Drosophila melanogaster: one gene and its partner. The protein of the gene in region 2 purifies or fractionates together with the protein of the main gene of each other region. This does not show direct contact. Each region holds a gene or a part of one and is shown on either strand. Other genes may lie near its edges.

Region 1 (9,580 bases), about 12 Mb from region 2:
AAGGAAGAATTAGAAGTGGGCACTTGAAGAAGAATACCTTCCGAACTTACACCACTGATTGGGCTGTCCAATGAAGGTCTTGGCCTCGTTGACCCTGACCAACGGACTCTTGATTTCGCGCAGGAAGAGCTTAAGCACACCGGTCAACGTGTGTATATCGACGTCCGGCTGACGCAGTGAATCGTAGTCGTTGGCGTCGATGCTGAAGCGCAGCGTTTGGATTTTATTGTAGTCGCCGCACTGCCGATAGATGCCCTCGATGGGCTGCGTAGATCTGCGGTACTTTTGCTCGATTAGATCGCAGCAATCCACAACGATGCGCGGCACAGTGCGGTGCTGGTCGTGCTTGAGGACCATCTCCAGTTCCGTATCGAAGCAGGGCTCGTCGAAGAAGATGCGCTGTTCCCGCAGCGTTTCCACGCTGGGTCTGCTCTTGAACCAGTTGGACAGGTTCATCCAGGCCACCAGGCGCGAGGGTCGGACATTGGGACTGCCGTGAGCAGTCCGCTTGCCAGGCGCAGCAACGCCGCCTGCGGCTGCAAAGCGCGCCTTATCCTTATCCCTCTCCCTGTCGCGTTCCTGAAGCAGTTCCGTCAACTGGCGACTCATCTCGCCCACCTTCTGCTCCAGCTCTTGGCTGTATGTGGTCTGGACGAGCAGATCCTGCTCCAGAGTGTGCATACGCTGCTTGAGATCGTGCCAACGCTTGGAGCAGCTGCTGCAGCACTCCAGTCCATTGCGGCGATCCCTGCCGGACTTGGACCTGCCCACCGCCGGACTGCCGCCAGAGCTGGAATTTGAGGAGCAGACATCTATACTGGTGTTGGACACCAGCACGGCTGTGTTGGTTGAATCGTCCAGGAACAGGCGGGTCAGATCCTTGCTGCTGCTGCTCTTGAGCAGAGCCAGCTTGTTGGGTCTGGTTTTCAGCTCTCTGAGTAGGACGACCGCCTCGGGCCGCCCGGTATCCTGCTTGCCCGCCTTGTCCAAGGTGCAATTGGAGCCACCACTGCCCTCCAGGCGAAACAGAGTGCTCGAGGTGACGCTGTGGCCGCGCACATAGGCGTGTTGGGCCTGCGACGATGACGACGACGTCGTGGAGCGATCGCGAAAGCAATTCATCAGGGTCTTTCCGGGCTGGCGTCTCTCGTGTGCCACGAATCCCGCGGCGCCGATTACGATATGCGCCGAGTCTGGAGTGCCAGGCGTTACTGGCCGCTGACTTGTCGTCGTCTGCATGATGCTGGGCTTGGCGCTATCGGGTTGTTCGCAACACCCTTTCCACTCTGGCTTCTTCTCGATTGGCTGCACTTGGGCTTATCGCCGCCGCGCCAGTGAAGCAGCTGACCAGTGGAGGGAGAGCCCTTCCCTTCGTCTCCTGCTTCTCCACCCGTTTCCCAGTGACGTCAAGTGTAGGAACTGTGCAAAAAGAAATAATCGGGTTTATAATTAGTTTATGACCATTGAATTTAAGTTCAGATAGCAAATGCACAGTGAGCCCTGGGAATTACAAATTATGTTTACTTGAAATATTCAATATTGAAATATATATGAAAATATATGAATATAAGATACAATTAGATAAACTGTAGTAAATCCCTATATAAAGTGCAGCTTCTCAATGGAAGCCATACTCCTTAGCCAGTGCCCACTGTGGTAACCACCCAACTCTTCCGCTTTTCAAGAACCTCTTCCTGCCGAATCGTATAATGTTGCCCAATGAAGTTGCAACTGCAACAGCAGCCACACCTTGTACACCAGTTGACCACGAATCACTTGTGGGTCTTCCGATTCTGTGTTTTCCTCGGATTATCAAACTTTTCCTTGGCGCGCTCGGATGACGCAGTATCAGAGGCGCGATTGCCGGTCGGTCACGGATAGTGGATAATTCGCAGGCAGCTCCGCTTTCAACTGACTAGCTGGGACGAGCGTTTGGAATTCTGTGGGCGCTTATCGCAATTCCAATAGTTCCACACTCGCAGGCCACTCCGACACTCCAGATAAGATAGCCGGAGAACCAAACAAATGCCAAAGCACTCTCTGCACACATGTATATACGAATATAACTGGCTGTCACAGAATTGACGATTATGTGTGAAATCCACTGGAGGAGTTGCTATTCTCCTATGCACACGATATATGTATATATCCAACACTCGTATCGCTACTGTATGCTGCCGACTTGGACTTTGGCAATTTCTGGGTAACTGGAGCAAGTCAGGGCCTTGACCAGCCCATGGAGATATAGCCAATCGGTCGTGATGTAGTGCTTTTATATTTAGGAAGTACCGAGTGCCTTATATCCGGTGGTGATTAATCGCAAATGGTGTGATAAGTGTAAGTATATGTTTTGAATGGTTCCATGGCACACCATGGTGATAATCCAATTAAATTAGGTGCTTTTACCTACATTCCATTACGACTGATTTCGATTGCAATCATTTGGAGATCTCTTGTGCTCGGTGTGGAGCTCCTTGTGTCGCTTGGCATCTGGAACAATCGAAGGGCAGGCTATCGTCGTGCTTGGTCCAATGAACCATGTAGCTATTCACGTTCTTTACGACTTCCTCCAATAGCCCAAATTTCCCGTGGTAGTGAGAACAGGAGGCAAATAGCTTGCTCTCCCGCTCGTTCTGCTGCCGGCGCATTTTCTTCTGGTGGGAAGTGGTCCTCAAGAGGCAAATGAAACATTAAAGCTGCGAGGAATCGAGCGGAGATTTTCATTTTATTGCGCCACAGCTTCAGCCGATCCAGTTTCGGTGACAGGATATCCTCTGCATGTCCCAAATCATCTGGAGATGCCGACACTGAAAACGCTCGTTGGATGGCTGATGAATCTATGATCTGCTCTGGACGTAGATTTTCCCCAAAATATTTGTACCTCATTTAGCAGATTTACATTGCGATATTTTCGGTGGTTCCTTCCGTCCAAATTCCAGAGCTTAGACTGCTGTTCCACATGGAGAAACTGGAGCATCAGTCGACGCAGCAGGCTGGAAAGCGGAAACTAAAGTTGGGAAAACATTGAAATATATTGCTGACTCACAGTTCCCCCATTTTTGCTGGACTGCTCTAGCTATCGCTGTATAGACAGTCCAGCACAGTGTCCATTTCGTTCTTCTTCACTTAAAATGCATCCTCATTGACCACCAGTGCATCATCTCCTGCCGGGGATTCCTTCCACTTAAATTGCTCTGCGTCTTGTGTTCCCAAGCGATCCGTTTGCTGGACAGGGGGTACATTCTCCTGATCCCCGCCAGCTGCCCTACGAAGTTCCCGGCTCAGCAGCGCTGATATGGCATTATCTTCTGAAGAGCGATTTTCAAATGTTCGTTGTTTACATTTTGAAACGGAACTGCCAACTTGCGGGAACAACAGGGAAATCTTAAGGGCTAGCGACTTAGAAATACCCTTTTATTCAATAAATATTTAAGCTCAGACCAACTTTGTAAATATGATAGTAAACTATTTTCTTATTATAAATACATGGTTGCTTAAGAATTAATTGCACAAATAGTAAGTCAGTAATAAAATTGACTTACAAAAAATTAATCCACCTGTTGCAACGACCTGTGCAGCCAATACACCCCAGCTATCCCTTATATATAACCAGTGTTGAAGAACAGCAGGCAGACGCGCCTCCAAAATTTGAAATGTGACATTGTGTGTTTAATAGCAATTATTACATAATTTCGGGACAGATAATAAAACTTTTCAGCTTAACCACTAGACAATAGATAAATGCAAACTGATCGAGCCACTTCCACAGGTCCAAGACAGTGCTCAGCCGGATCTAGGGCATCATGCGCAGAGCACCGTCGATACGGATGACCTCGCCGTTGAGCAGCGGATTCTCGTAGATGGCCTGCACCAGGTGGGCGTACTCACTGGGCTCGCCCAGGCGCTGCGGGAACGGTATGGACTTGGCCAGGAAGGTGCGCACCTTCTCCGGCAGGGCGGCCAGCATAGGCGTGTTGAACAAACCCGGTGCAATGGTGCAGATACGTATGCCCTGGGTGCTCAAGTCACGGGCAATGGGCAGGGTCATGCCCACCACGGCTGCCTTGGAGGCGGAGTAGGCCGCCTGGCCGATCTGGCCATCAAAGGCAGCCACCGAGGCGGTGTTCACGATCACGCCGCGCTGTCCATCCTGATTGGGCTCATTGGCGCCCATCAGTCCGGCGGACAGACGGATCACATTGAACGTGCCCACGGTATTGATGTTGATCACCCGCTGGAAGTCTTCCAGGCGGTGCGCCACGTTCTTGTTGAAGTTGAACGTCTTTACCGCGGTGGCTGTGCCCGCACAGTTCACAGTCAGATCCAGACGACCGAACTTATCCTTGGCCGTCTGCAGAGCGGCGCTCACATCCTTCTCGGAGGTCACGTCCACGGGCACGAAGACCACCTTGTCGCCCAGCTCCTTGGCCACCTCGTTGCCCTTGGAGGAGGGCAGATCGGCCAGGATCACGCTGGCGCCCTGCTTGGCCAGGCGCTCGGCGGTGGCGCGGCCCAGTCCAGAGGCTCCTCCGGTCACCAGGGAAACGGCGTTCTGGGGGTGGGAAAGGCATGGGGTTAGAAACTATATATATATGTATATATCCAAGGAAATAGATTCTAAAAATGCACTCCATTCCATTTCATCCCAACTACAACATCAATGTTTAGAGATCTTAACAGAATAAGCATATAGAATGCAAAATATACGATCTGTAGGACTGAGATCCTTATCTTTAACAACATTGAGAAGTTGTCCGTTAAAGTTAGTATAGAAATAGCACGATCCTCAATTTGCAGATAAACTTATAATCCGATGCCGGTTTATCTTATTATTTCGAAAGCAGCTGACCGATGCGTTCGGTGTCCAGTTTCCCGATAAGCCGCATTGTATTATTGTATAACTCGGTGGGGAAGTAATGCTAATTGTTGGCTGGGTACAAGGTACATCGCTGTGGGCAGAGATACAGTTATTTATGGGACTCCATGTTTATAATAGACACGAGTTCACATCCCAATTGGACTTTGCACCCCGGCCGCGCAGTCATCGGCCGCTTTTGCTGCACTAATTCCCGTCTAATCGCAGTGTGATCCTTATTTACAGCACCCCACGTACCTTGATCATTGTTCTGGCTGGTGGCGTTGTGTTGTGGGTGCGAAAGGCGGTGGTTACTTAGTGCTCGGCAAAGCTTTTTAAGCAAAAACTTGTTAAGCGATTCGAAACCGTGCAGTGTGACCGTATGTGCGCCGCTTGAAAATACTGCCTACCGGTTAGGGGGCTCCTATCATTGGCTTAGCTTTTAAATTTTGAGTTTTTTTTTAAATTTAAATTTAAATCAATTTGTTTATTACCAAGCAATTAATTTGCAAGATTTTGAAAGAACTTTTAAATATAAATTACCTCGAGCAGGCAAACAGTGAAGATTTTATTTGGCAAGCTAACTAACTTGGCAACTTATTATTTCAAGAACATGTTTTTGCAACAATTAAGGTGGCAGCATTCAAGTCTTTATAAATGAAATCTTTAGCTATTCAAATTCAATGGCTTAAAACAACTTATGCTATAGATTATTACAGTAAATTTTAGTTATAAGCTATTCATTGTATGAATTCGTATTTAGCTTCCACGCCAAAATGTATGCCGTAGAATTACATATACTCATTTAATTTATTTTATGGTTTATAACTTAAATTAATTTGAACATAAACATTTATGCTTTAAATAAAAACAAAACATTGTTTCTGTTTAATTTAAGATTATTTTCATTTTTAATATTTCTTATTACTTCACTTAATAAATAATAATTAAAAAAAAATATTGCTTATATAAATAAGGAGTATTTTAAATAAATCATAACAAAGTTATATCCGAATTTAATTTATACCCCCAATTTATATACTTTTGTCCTCCGATGTATGGAAGAACATCGATGATTCCTCGAAAAACATCGATGCTTGTGATTGTTTGAAAAGATCGATGATATCGATGATGTCATCGATGTTTCTCCACCTCTAAGTCAGATTGCCTATTGAAATACAAAATAAATGAGTACTTCCTAGAAATCAAATGTTAAAGAACACAATATGTCGCTCGGTGGAGAAAGTAAGCACACGCCAAAGTCTTCCAATCTGAGGCCGTTGGACGACGACCAGCTGGTTAGGATCATCAGCACGCCACGTCCGTCAAATGGTAAAACCCATGCAAACTGCGCGTTTGCCAGAATGCCAGAACCAAGATTCAACTCCACTTTTCCACGCAATATGGCAAGGAGTGAGCCAGCATCCCGCCCAGGACCGCCTCAAGCGCCTGCAGGGCCAACTAAAGCGGGTGCAGGACAACGAGAAGGAGCAGGGGACCACCAAGCGGATCACCCACAGTTCCTCCGCATCTCGTCGATCAAGTGCGTCCACATCTACGCCCCAGCGACTCCTGAAGTTTCCGCCTAAGGTGGCGATGAATGCCTGGGAAAAGCCAAAAGCCCTGGTCGATGCCAATCGCCTGAAGGCGGGACGTACCCAAACTGGTGAGTGCCCGGTGCATATAGTTACTCATATCCCATGTTCTCCTTATCGTCTCCCTAGCCTACCAGCGTCTCATGCTGTTAAGAGCTTCGCTGCAGCAGAAGCAGCTATATGAGGAGCGCAACAACAATATTGTGGCCAAGATCAACGAAGAGGTGATAGAAAAACAACCAGAAGCCTGCAACATCACAAATCCAAGTGCATTTGATGGCTCGACGGCCAGCGATATGGAGGTCGAGCCCATGGAATGGCAGGAGTCTATTGAAGAGGAGGCGGCACAGAATGATCAGGATGAGGCTAAGAAAGGGGACGACACTCTATTGATGCTGCCGGCGGAGTCCATTGAAGAGGAGGCGCCACAGAAAGGTCAGGATGAGGCTAAGGAAGAGGACGACACTATATTGATGCTGCAGGCGGCCGATGCCGAGGAGCTGCCCCCAAGGCTTGAGGATTACATGTACTTTGTGCTGGACACCAACGTCCTCATACACAACCACAAGTTCGTGGAGAGACTGACCGATGTGGTGCTGCCGGGCACGGTGGGCAGCATGCTGTACCTTCCGTACATAGTAATCAAAGAGCTGGACAAGCTAAAGAGCAAGTACCAGTCGGACTGCCTGCAGCGTGTGATTGCCATGCGAGCAATACGCTTTTTGAACACCAAGTTCGACGAAAGCTTTCAAATACAAGGTGGGTCGTGGATTGTGTATGTAAATCGTTGGAACTTACCTATGTGTATTATCTTTGTTGCAGCTCAATCCGCTTTGGAGGAGGCGGATCACCTGATCAAGATCGACTGCCCGGATGACAGCATTTTGAATTGCTGCCTGCAGCTGCAGGCGCAGGTTCCCCACATGATCCTGCTCACCAACGACGCGAACCTTCGGCTCAAGGCCAATGCCTCCAACATTCAGGTCTCCTGTCGCTCTGATCTGATGTCCACCTATGTGGATGAGTTCGCTGGCTTCGGCGATTAACTCGATGCCGTCCGAGCTCCCACCTTACATTTAGTATACGAAAGACTGTGACTGCGTTTGTGATACGGGATCGGGTGGCGGGCGAAAGGGATCGACCAGTCAAGCAAGATGCACCGCGGCATACATGAAGTACAATGAATCTTTATACCCACAAACATCATCTAGCATACATTCAGAGGAAGGCCACTGACGACGTGTTCACCCAAGACTAAAAACTTGCACATATTAGAAGATCAGATTTGACTGCCATTTGCTACGTATAATAAAGTTTGTTTCTGGATATATTTGCCTGGCGATTAGCGTTCTAGAGATAGCCAATCCGCGTGGCCCGGAAGGGCTTCCTCCGATCGAAGATGGCCGGCTCGCTTGTTTGGCTTTAATTAGCCGTACGCTGGAGTTGCCGACTTTGATTGCGCCTTATCGGCTGGGCAAACAAGATCGAAGCAACGGCAGAGGATTCCCCACATCCGCTGGAGTTCACTTGCCCGCTTCGTCGGCCAGATCGAGCTCAAAGCGTACGCAGCGTTCGCCCAGCGCGGTGGTTTCTCTCCTCCCAAACTCACTCCCATGGTGGAAAATTCTGTGCTTTACTCTCGATAGTGACGACTTTATTGCCGCGCGATAACTTAAGCTATACAAAGTGTATGTATTTGGGAGTGTTAAATAGGGTGAATCAATATTTATAGTTGCGAAAGACATGAGGAAAACAACGTGCTCGTAAAATTTTGGGAAATTCCAGTAGCGGAAAGTTTTTCAGTTCATTTAGCGAATAATGCGAATCTCACCCTCCACTTTTATGTACACAAAATCAAATTTAGCATTTAGCATGTAAAATCTACGGATATCCATTTAATTTTCAGGCAATTACAAACAAATTGGCAAAAAACTGTAGGCTTACAGAATACGGAATACGTTACTAAGCAAGGAAAGGGAAATTATGATTTTGTAAAAGAACAGTTTAAAATACGCAAACGCTACTCTCCGCCACTTGAAGATCTTATCTAAATAATTAATTTCACTTTAATCTTGAACACTACATTCTATGAGCTAATGTATCTTTGTTAATGTACAGTCTGGTGACGAAGATAAGAATACGGGTTTGGAAGCTAGTCGAAAACGACTCAAAAGTGGCGTTCGATTTGGGGAAAACGAATGCCAAAACTCGAGGAAAACTTATGCAAAACATTTTCCGCCACCATGAGCGCATCTTCCCAAAACGTCCACAACTTGGATTGCGGACACTAGAGGCTACGTGTACGTGTCGAATAGCGTGGCTAATTTACAGTCTGGCGAAATGAAAGGAGTGGCGAGTAAGGAGGAGCAGCTCCTTCAGACGCACTGCAGCTTGAGGCTAGCGTCGCGGACCTGCCTCTTTGCCTGATGCATGGCCATTAGCTGGCACCAGCCCCAGGCCAGGCTCCTGTCCTACATCTTTGGCTCTAACAGGGAGTTGCCGGAGCCGCCGATGCAGGGCAGATGCATCTGCATACGCTCCAGCTGATCCGCAAGTAGGCGCTGCTCGTTGGTCAGCCGCAGTATCTCCTGCTTCTCCTCGATGGTGTGGCCCTTGCGCTTGGCCCGATACTGCAGCATTCGCTTGTAGCACTCGAGTATCTCCTGGTCCACCATGTCCAATTTCTGTTTGATGGCAATGCGCTTGATTTCCTCACTGGCAACGGCACGCAGTCGCTTCAATTCCTCGCTGTTAAACTGCGAAATGGTGCTGATTTCGGTCGTTACGCGCTTGATCTCCATCAGCACCTCGTCCACGTCTTCGTGGGCCGCAAACTCACTGGCATCGATCAGTCCGTTCTCGATGAGAGTCTTCTTCAGGCGCTGTTCGATGCCCACGCCGTGTTTCATCATGGCGAGAGATCGAAAGTTCCCGGAAGCAGCTGCTGCGGCAGCATTTGCCGAGGACGAGGAGTGCGAGTGGGTGTTCTCGTTGCTGCTGCTCGTGGTGCTGTTGCTGTGCTCGCCCACGGCGGCCTGTTCGCTGGGCAGCGTCATCAGGGACTCCTCCATTAAGGCGGACACCAAACGCTGGGTGAGTGGACCAGTGATGCTCTCATCCACCATGCCTT
Region 2 (9,580 bases):
GGATGATCGTAGTGGTAGCGCACAATGGCTGGCACCTCGATGTGGGCGCGAGCACGCAGATTTCTCTTGGTGCGAAAGGGCGGATTGCGCGTGTTGACACGCCGGAAGAACTCAAGCTTGACATTTTCATGGTCAAGTGGCTGGTGGAAGCGATTCCAGAGACGCACCCGCTCCGTGGCCGAAATGCTATTGGTCATATTGGCATCCTGTGAACAGACATCCTCATTAGAACCCAAGCAGACCTCCATGTGCGTTGGCTGACTTACGATAAAATTCTCGGCATGATTGGGGCACATCCACAATCCAGCTGGCAGTGCCGTCAGTGGCGGATCCAGGCAATCCTGGTGAAAGTAGAGCGGACAGTAGTCGCAGGAGATGAGCGGCGCCCGTTTGCAGGAGCGCGTGCAGTAGAAACAGGTTTTGGCGGGCAGCGGCACCAGTCCCTGGGCATCCAGCTCAAACGGCTTGGAGTTGCGTCGCTGATTGCCGGCGCATCTGCGATTACCGCCATTTCCGCTCGGCGGATGCGTCTGCTGTACGGGTTGCACCTTGCCATTGCCCGGGAACTGGGTGTGCAGCTCGAGCTCCGGCGGCAGCGAGAATTGCTGCGGATTCATCATGGTGGCCGCCCTGATGACATCGTCCAGCGGCGTTGGCTTCTTGTTCGGATCGAGGGCGCGCTGTATGGACATCGGCATTTTGGCCAGCAGCTTCTCGGTGCTATTGCGTTCGCTGTTGCTGCGTTTGCGCAGGTTGCGGATCTTCAGCGGTATGGACTCCAGATCGCCAGACGATGGAGTATTCGCCCGTGAGCCACTGCCCGCCGAAGGCACACGCTCCACGGAACTGGCCTTGGATGAGGAGGCCGGCGGCTGGGAGAGCTTGCTCATGCGACAGCTGTGGCACAGCCACTGGCCACTGGGTATGTCCTCCTCGCTCAACGGTGGATCACTGTGGCGAAAGCACGAAATCAGCACTCAAAATGAGCAGCTATATGCGCGTGTATATACTCACTGGCATTGCAGGTGGAAGCTGGAGGGGCATCGATCGCAGCACAGCAGATTGCCGCCCTCCTCGCAGGCGTCACAATAGTCGTGGTTGTGGCCCCTGCCCGGGCGCCTGTAGTACGGATGCTTCGTGTTGGTGGACCGCTGCATCATCTTCTCGTCCTCGTTGGGCGGCGGGCGGATGAGCTGCTTGATTTGCTGCGCGAAGTAGTAAAGTTATGTTAAATGTGGGAAATGGAGACAGTTGTGAATGCGTTAATGTGGCAGCTCTAGAGTAGCCACCGCCGATTGGAATTGGAGCTCCGGGCAGTGGACACACTGAAGCTCTGAATGGCGTCCCGGCGGCACACTCACCTCCATGATGCTCAGTGAGGCGTTCGGGTCCTGGTCCAATTTTGACATCTTTTTCGCTCGCTCCTCTTATCCGGTGTACACAATCAATCTCGGAGCGACTTCACTTGGCGACGGAGGCGGGCGCAGTGTCGGTTGTCCAGCCCTGCGCATCCGACGAGCGAATGGCCACACTGCGCGCCCACCGATAGGCGATTAACGGAAATTCAGTGCAGACTGCATTTCACTCCAAATCTAACTACTTGCAATTAATAAAGTTTATATTGGGTATACACATTCGTAACCGAAAAATACCCAAGCAAACAAATAGTTAAAAATTAAATACCCAAAATTCTCATATTTCGCTCAGACCTCACTATAGACACCTATATGTTTACATCTTTTGGGCACACCACTAGCTAGCACTCGCTGTTTTGGACCAACGCCCGCTAAAAGAGCATCACAGCTGGCGGACGACGCAATTTGCCAGTTGATTTTACCAAACAATAGAACAAAATAGTGCAATGTTTTCGATATTTGGCAAACGCAAGCCCGCGGAAACGCCCACGGATGACCAGCCCATCCAGGGACCGGCGGAGGCAACCCGTCCAGGCACCAGTGTCGATGATTTCGTGTTCATAGAGCGCAAACCAGTACCGGATGCTCCTCATCCGGGTGTTCCAGCCGGCTCCATGTATCCACCTATGCCGCCAGCGGGCTATCTGCCCTATCCGCCGATGCCAGGACCGCGCAGCGATCAAGTGAAGCAGCCCGGAGCCCAAGGACCCGTCAATTACTTGCAGGACATTCCATTCGAGCTGGCACCCGGATTGGCCAACAAGGATCGCTACACCAGCACCCAAATGCAGGTGGACAGCATATTGGCGCTACTAACGCGCCAATTGTCCGTGGACGAGCTGGCCGAGGAGTACACCTTCGCCCTGGAGCGATCCGTGCAGAACGAGTGTTACTAGCTTTAGATCCATAGATCCACTGGTTAATATTCATACATTACATTACATTACATATAATAAAACGTTGCTTATTTAATTGTAAACCACATATGCAGTGCTCTTTTGCTTGTTAGTGGTGTGAGTCATTGGAATTCCTTAATCTTGTTGCCATACAATTAATGTTCCATTTCTTTGAAAACATGTAGAACTTTTCTGACTATCAAGTAGTCCTTTGGTTTTACCTCGCTCACATTTCAACTGGGACTGCTCATAAGGTGATCCACTATCGCAGCGTGAATACATAAAATTGTTAGTGCTCCCGTTTACCCAAATTTTTCGTACACAAAAAAGATTTCGAAACATTATTTTGTGTTTATAAGTAACCAAGTTCAAAGCTAAATTTCCAATACGTACAAATTTACCAAGCCGAGACGAGCCGTTCCGTTTCGTTTCGTTTAGTTCAGTTCCGTGTAGTACTCTTCAGCCATGGCCAGCTCCAATGTCTCGGATTGGGATGAGCCGATGCCCACGTCGACGGAGTCGCTGCCCGAGGAGGAGGATCCGGATGTGTGCGCAGAGGAGAACGTAAAGAAGCGGCGGGAGGAGGAACTGGACAAGCTGGAGTTGTATGTGCGGCGCATGGCCTACCAGCCGACACTGCCGCCCAAGGTAAAGCCCTACGACGTGGCCCTGTCCAAGCCCAAGTTGCACACGCTCATCGACAACTACGAGCAGTTCAAGGATGTATACGATCCGAAGCTGCGGGCCAAGCGGATCAAGCGCATGCTGGGCAAATACAAAGCCATTACCACGGAGTAAGTGCAGCGCTTGCATCAGTTGCTAACGCGATCTAATCATCTCATCTCATTCCCAAAAACAGACAGCTGGAGCAGATCCTTAAGAGCAACAAGACCAAGGAGCGAAAGAAGGAGGATTTCCTGAAGCGCAAGCAGGAACTGTACTACAACATGCTGACCAAGCTGGAGCGCCAGTGCCGCACCCAGTACCTGAACGTGCTCATCAAGAAGTTCGCCAAATTCATTTCCCATCTGGCCACAACGATGCGCATTCCGCCGCAGCTGGTGGATCCGTATGCGCGCATGCAGCGCGGCATCTTCTGCAACATCCTGTTGGCCATTGGTGTGCAGCCCACCTCACAGTCGGCCATCTACTACACCAGCCAGGATGCCATCGAGTACGATGTGTGCCATCGCCTCGCGCACGCGCTGCTCAGTTTGATCATTAAGGCGCTGGACTCGGCAGCCACAAGGGATCCCAACGAGCTGGCCAAGCCGGCCGACTTGGACTTCGAGATGGACAATCACATCAAGCGTCGGCTCATGTGCGCCGCCGAGAAGAAGCTGCTGTACGAGCGCCGTCGCAAGAAGCCCCAGCCGCAGGGTCTTGGAGCCTTTGAGAAGTGCACCCGCTATGACTGCGACTAGGACGGCTCCTTCAGTGTATTCGTGTTAACATTTGGCTACTATTTATTCGCATAAGAAGTCTTGCTCACATGGTCACCTCGTTGTTTTGGTCTTGGTTTTGGTGGCGGGTATCGTCTGCTCCTTCATCTGGATGCACAGCCAGTTGGCGGGCACCTCGAAGCTGTCTGTGGGATGCGGCGTGTACTGCGCGCAGTAGGGCACATGCCAGGTGTCCGCCACTTGGTGGGCACACAGCCGATGACGAACGGGCTCCTTGACTATAATCTGACCCGTTTGCGTTTGGGTGACCAGGGAGAACTGGTGCTCCTGCTGCCAGCGACGAAAGATGGGCTTCAGCTCGGTGCCCAGATGAAAGGCGTGACTGCGCATCAGGTCGCGGGAGAAGAAGTCTGTCTCCTGGCCGCTGCGCAGCGTGGCATACAGCAGGAAGGGATCATCGTGCGACCTATAAGCAAACGAACGAACGAATTAGTCTACCTATCCCTTTCCAATTCGAGATGAATTCCCTTACAGATTGCTGGTCAAGAAGAGGCTGGCATTGCAGTGCACATAGTGCATGGCCTGCTTGGACCAGTTGCGCATGTGCTCGCGTCCCAGGACGAGGACACGCTTGTCCTGTTCCCGGAAATGACGCACCACCGTAGCCACTAGCTTGGCCAGCTGCTGCGGCGTCTTTTTGGTGCCCGTAGAGTAGGCCACATTGAGGCCATCGATCACACAGTCGTATGGCGCCGTCTTTTCGACAAACTTCTTGAACCTGGCCACCTCCTCGGGCGTGGAGCGCTGGAAGACGTCTCGTCGTATGAGCACGCGCTCCAGAAAACATTCGCTTAGCTGCCGGAACTCCTCATCGCTGATGGCCACCGGCTGGAGGTGCTGCTGGCAGGACTGGCACTTGCCCAGACCTCCCAAATGGGTGGTCCTGGTGTGCAACAGTTGGGGCACCTGGCTGGACAGCTCCTGCAATCGTATCGCCACCCGCTGGCTGACTAGAATCTCATGGCGTTCGAGGAATTGCAACAAAAGGCTAAGCTGTGCAGGAAGTTGTGCCGTTTCGTTGGCCAGTCGATTGAGCAGCGCCAGATAGACCTCGCATTTGGGCGGCTTCCGTGCCGTGGCCATCTCTTCCAGTAGGCGCCAGGCCAATTCCTGCTCCGGTGTCGCCACACTGAAGGCCTTCTCCGCCAGCGCGGAGTAGGCGGCCACACTGGGCGTACTGGTGACCTTCATCATCTCGAGCAGCGGCAGTCCGCGCTGCCAATCATCGCCGCTGGTGGCCACCAGTCCATGAATCACATTCTCGCAGCTGCTGGCGTCCAGAGTTTCGTGCTCCGCCTGCAATGATCGGCAGATCTGCAGTATCTCCGACTGTTCCGCCTCGCTAAGCGGTCGCTCGTGGTAGGCGGCATTGTAGACCCTCAGCAGGCGACCCAGTGTCGCTGCATTCGGTTTGGAGCCCCTGCTCCTCAGGAACTCCACATAGCTTTTGGCCAACGACAATTGGTTGGGTGCACTGCACACGCCCAGAATGACGGCGTCCACGTTGTGCCCGTTGATGTGCTTGTACCCGTCCACGAGCGACCTCCGCACCTCCGTCCACTCCGCGCCACTCAGCTCATGGCGACGCTCGAAGAGATCACTGCGCAGCTGGTCCAGCCGATCGGCCGGCAGGCTGCCCGGCTGCGGGCGCCGCTTGTGCTGGCTAGCCAGCCAGCGCGGATGGGCGTGCCCGGCGATCGGCAGGAGATTTCGTAGCAGGCGTAAATTATACATTAGTTAAATTTAAATTTAGATTAAAATTATTCTCGCTTAACACAATAATTCCAATAAGAATTATGCCGGCTGGCGGTGTGGCCAGTCACACGCTGCACTTAGCCAGTGCACGCACCGCATTTGGTATATGCCAAATGAAATATACCGAAGTAAGTGTACATTTATTGCGTGCCACGTTACGGGCACACTGCATTGCGACAAAAGTTGCAACTCACTACTTTTCTGAATTTAATTTATTTTAAGCGTTGCACAGCCGAAAGTACAGCGTAAATCCTCGAACAAGATGACCGTGACCGCCACACCGATGCCGGACAATCTGCGGGTGAAAGCCTTATCCGAGTACCGAAAGAAGTTGCTAGAGCACAAGGAAATCGAGGGACGCCTCAAAGAAAGTTCGTCTATCCGCTGATCTCCGCCAGCAAATGCGTATTAACCTGGCTATTTTCAGAGCGCGAGGAGATCAAGGATCTGACCAAGCTGTACGACAAGTCGGAGAACGATCTAAAGGCCCTGCAGAGCGTGGGACAGATCGTTGGTGAGGTGCTGAAGCAGCTGACCGAGGATAAATGTGAGAACTCTCCCATATTCTGTCTAAGATTGCCTCTATTCTAACTACTTACTTGCCACACAGTCATTGTGAAGGCCACCAATGGACCCCGCTACGTGGTCGGCTGCCGCCGGCAGCTGGACAAAGCCAAGCTGAAGTCCGGAACTCGTGTGGCCCTCGACATGACCACACTGACCATTATGCGCTACTTGCCGCGCGAGGTGGACCCACTGGTGTACAATATGTCGCACGAGGATCCCGGGGATGTCACCTACTCGGCCATCGGCGGCCTAACCGACCAAATTCGCGAGCTGCGCGAAGTGATCGAGCTGCCCCTACTGAATCCGGAGCTCTTCCTGCGCGTCGGCATCACGCCACCGAAGGGTTGTTTGCTGTACGGACCTCCTGGCACCGGCAAGACCCTGCTGGCCCGTGCAGTGGCCTCCCAGCTGGACGCCAACTTCCTCAAGGTCGTGTCCTCGGCGATTGTCGACAAGTATATTGGCGAGAGTGCGCGTCTCATTCGCGAGATGTTCAACTATGCCCGCGACCATCAGCCCTGCATCATTTTCATGGACGAAATCGACGCTATCGGTGGTCGGCGCTTCTCCGAGGGCACCTCTGCCGATCGCGAGATCCAGCGCACCCTGATGGAGCTGCTCAACCAGATGGACGGCTTCGATTCGCTTGGCCAAGTCAAGATGATCATGGCAACCAATCGTCCGGACACCCTCGATCCTGCCCTTCTGCGTCCGGGTCGCTTGGACAGGAAGATCGAGATTCCGCTGCCCAACGAGCAGGCTAGGTAAGCTATATTCCCACATTGATTGGCTCTTATCTTTGATGTCTTCTTGGTGAAATATGAATAGGGATTTCTCAGATTAGATACTTACATACTTTGTCATACTGATGGTAAAACCCCAACTCCTTTTAGGTTGGAAATTCTCAAGATTCACGCACTGAAGATCGCCAAGCACGGCGAAATCGACTACGAGGCCATTGTCAAGCTGTCGGACAACTTTAATGGCGCTGATCTGCGTAATGTCTGCACGGAGGCGGGTCTCTTTGCCATTCGGTAAGTGCGAAGTTTCCACCGCTTGATAAGCTCCCTAAAATGTAACTATTCTTGCAAATCCAGTGCGGAGCGGGAGTACGTCATCCAGGAGGACTTCATGAAGGCGGTGCGCAAGGTGTCGGACAACAAGAAGTTGGAGAGCAAGCTGGACTACAAGCCCGTCTAGGAGCCAGTGCTCGCCACCGCCCCCCATAGAGATAACCATACACCATTTACACACATATACAGATATATATATATTATGCCCACAACGGGCCTGTCACACAAAGTCCGTTGCTTCTTCTCCATATGCTAATTAAATGCTATGTAAAGATTAGGTTCATTTAATTTCCTTTGGGTATGTGGGCGCCCGGGGATTAGCCGCACTTCTGCTGCTGCTGCTCCTCGATGCGCCGCTTCTTGCGCTCCAAATAGTCGCTAACGTTGTCGAAGCGCTTCTTAAACCAAACGGACAAGTCCTCGGGAATGAATGGCGGTGCGCCCTCCTCGTTGGCACCCAATCCGTCTAGCACCATCTTCAGCCAGCCCTCGGGCACGCCGCTGCTCGCCGGCTGGCCAGTTGCGATGTCGTAGACGCGCAAGCTTAAGCGTTCGTTCTCTGCGCCGGTGATGTAGATCCGGTCGCTGGTTAAAGTAAAGTTGCTAATGCTCCATGAGCCCGCTTCGGCGCAAACCAGTTGTGTGGCCGTCACGCTCCAGGTGTCATCGGAGCTGCGCTCCAGGCGATACAATCCCAGGGCGTCCACGTGCTCGTAGAAGAGCACCGCCGCCTGGAAGACCTTCTCCGGCTCCAGCTGGCGTACCAATAAACGAACCGCCGGTGCTGGTAGCTCGTGCTGCAGCAGCTCTTTGCCCTGAATGTAGTTCCATACGCGCAAGGTCTTGTCCCCCGAAGCGGAGGCGATATGCTGCTCCGTGAGCAGTGCCAGGCCTGAGACAAACTCCCTGTGGCCCAGGCAATAGCTGTGGATGTCAAAGGTGGCGGGATAGTTGGTCACGCGTATCTTATCATCCCGATCGCAGGTGATGATATGCTGCTGGTCCTCCGACCACAGGATGTCGTATACCACACTTAAATGGCCCAACAGCAGGCGCGGCGGAGCCTCCACCTCAACGCAGTCGTACTGATAGCAATCGCCAGTCTTGTCTGTGACCAGAATGGAGCTGCTGTCGCTGCAGAAGCGCAGGGCACTGGACGCCCGGGCCAGTGGGCGGGCGGAGAGCAGGCGGGCGTTCTCCGGCCGTGAACGATAGAGCAGGAGAGCTTTCTGTTTTCCACTGGTGGTCACGGCCAGCAGCTGTCCGTCTGGCGAGTAGGCCACATTCTGTACCGATGTGCTGGTGGCACATCCCAAACCGGAGGCGCTGGCAGAGGTTCCGCCCTCCTCTGGCTGATTGGCAAGCTGTTGCTCCTTGCCACCCGGTGCCTGACCGGATGCGGCTGTGGCTGTGGATGCGGCTGCTGCGGCTGTACACGATTCCTGCGACTGGGATGTATGGCCTTTCAGGCCAAGGTCGGGCGGCAGCTCGATCTCCTTGAATATCTGCAGGTCGTCGGGGTTCACGAAGAGCACCCTGCGGCCATGGCCGAGCACGATTTCGGGTTCCGCGAACGAAATTGTTGTGCACATTCTTGCGACTCGATTCGATAGCCACCGATAGGTTTGCACAACTACTGACTACTGGTATCGACGAGCGATAAGATCTGCTCACCAGGGCTGCACGCTGCGGTATGACCAATTGATGCATTCGTTAGAATGTAGTGTGACCCTGTTGCTGCCAACGGCAGTGAGACCGTATTATTGGCTGGAAAATAATGCCCGTGAAATTTGTTAAATAGAGGGGATTATACGGATGTATAGCGAGGAAGTCCAATTCATCCATTAGCCCGTGTTCGTGTGCGTTTATGCTGTGCGTGTGCGTTTGTGTGAGTGTGTGTGCAGCACGAAACCGGCGAATCCCATGCGAGTGAACGAGTGGGCAGGAGGAAGCGCTGCAAAAATCTCATCATCAATTATATAGGCCATTGGATTGCGGGACTTGGATTTGGGCCATGAAGAGCGTGCTGATGGTGGCCGAGAAGCCCTCGCTGGCGGCCTCGCTGGCGGGGATTCTCTCAAACGGACGCTGCACGGCCAAGCGTGGTAAGTGCCAGTAGATCAACACGAACTCCCAAACTCAGCAAGCAACCGAAATTGTATGTAATCCTCTCCAGGCACCGGCAACGGCTGCTCCACGCACGAGTGGACGGGCAACTTTCGGAACGAGGGCAGCGTCCACTTCCGGATGACTTCCGTGTGCGGTCATGTCATGTCGCTGGACTTCAATAAGAAGTACAACTGCTGGGACAAGGTGGATCCCATCCAGCTCTTCGGTTGTGCCACCGAAAAGAAGGAAACGAATCCCAAGCAGAACATGCGCAAATTTCTGGCCCACGAGGCGCGCGGCTG

What was found.
Region 1: the proteins of mldr (region 2) and scu purify together in Drosophila melanogaster (affinity purification with western blotting; one study listed by BioGRID). This does not show direct contact.

The regions. Positions count from the first base shown.
Region 1 is NC_004354.4:18,086,924-18,096,503, reverse strand, and holds scu (scully), read right to left. Parts: upstream 5,246-9,580; 5' UTR 5,123-5,245; coding exon 5,114-5,122; intron 4,950-5,113; exon of another isoform or gene 4,850-4,949; intron 4,553-4,849; coding exon 3,794-4,552; 3' UTR 3,651-3,793; downstream 1-3,650. Other genes in the region: RhoGAP16F (Rho GTPase activating protein at 16F), read right to left, coding at 51-1,239; Swt1 RNA endoribonuclease, read left to right, coding at 6,082-6,187, 6,267-6,521, 6,580-7,209, 7,273-7,496; Ada3 (transcriptional adaptor 3), read right to left, coding at 8,922-9,580. UniProt on the Drosophila melanogaster protein: Mitochondrial dehydrogenase involved in pathways of fatty acid, and steroid metabolism.
Region 2 is NC_004354.4:6,287,335-6,296,914, reverse strand, and holds mldr (mulder), read right to left. Parts: upstream 5,613-9,580; 5' UTR 5,509-5,612; coding exon 4,247-5,508; intron 4,181-4,246; coding exon 3,808-4,180; 3' UTR 3,736-3,807; coding exon of another isoform or gene 3,171-3,735; 3' UTR 3,106-3,170; coding exon of another isoform or gene 2,777-3,105; 3' UTR 2,738-2,776; downstream 1-2,737. Other genes in the region: CG3815 (uncharacterized protein), read right to left, coding at 1-206, 267-951, 1,015-1,205, 1,362-1,409; CG15891 (uncharacterized protein), read left to right, coding at 1,862-2,311; CG15892 (uncharacterized protein), read left to right, coding at 2,777-3,105, 3,171-3,735; Rpt4 (regulatory particle triple-A ATPase 4), read left to right, coding at 5,792-5,900, 5,957-6,076, 6,140-6,860, 6,990-7,130, 7,194-7,296; wuho, read right to left, coding at 7,487-8,761; Top3beta (topoisomerase 3beta), read left to right, coding at 9,184-9,274, 9,346-9,580.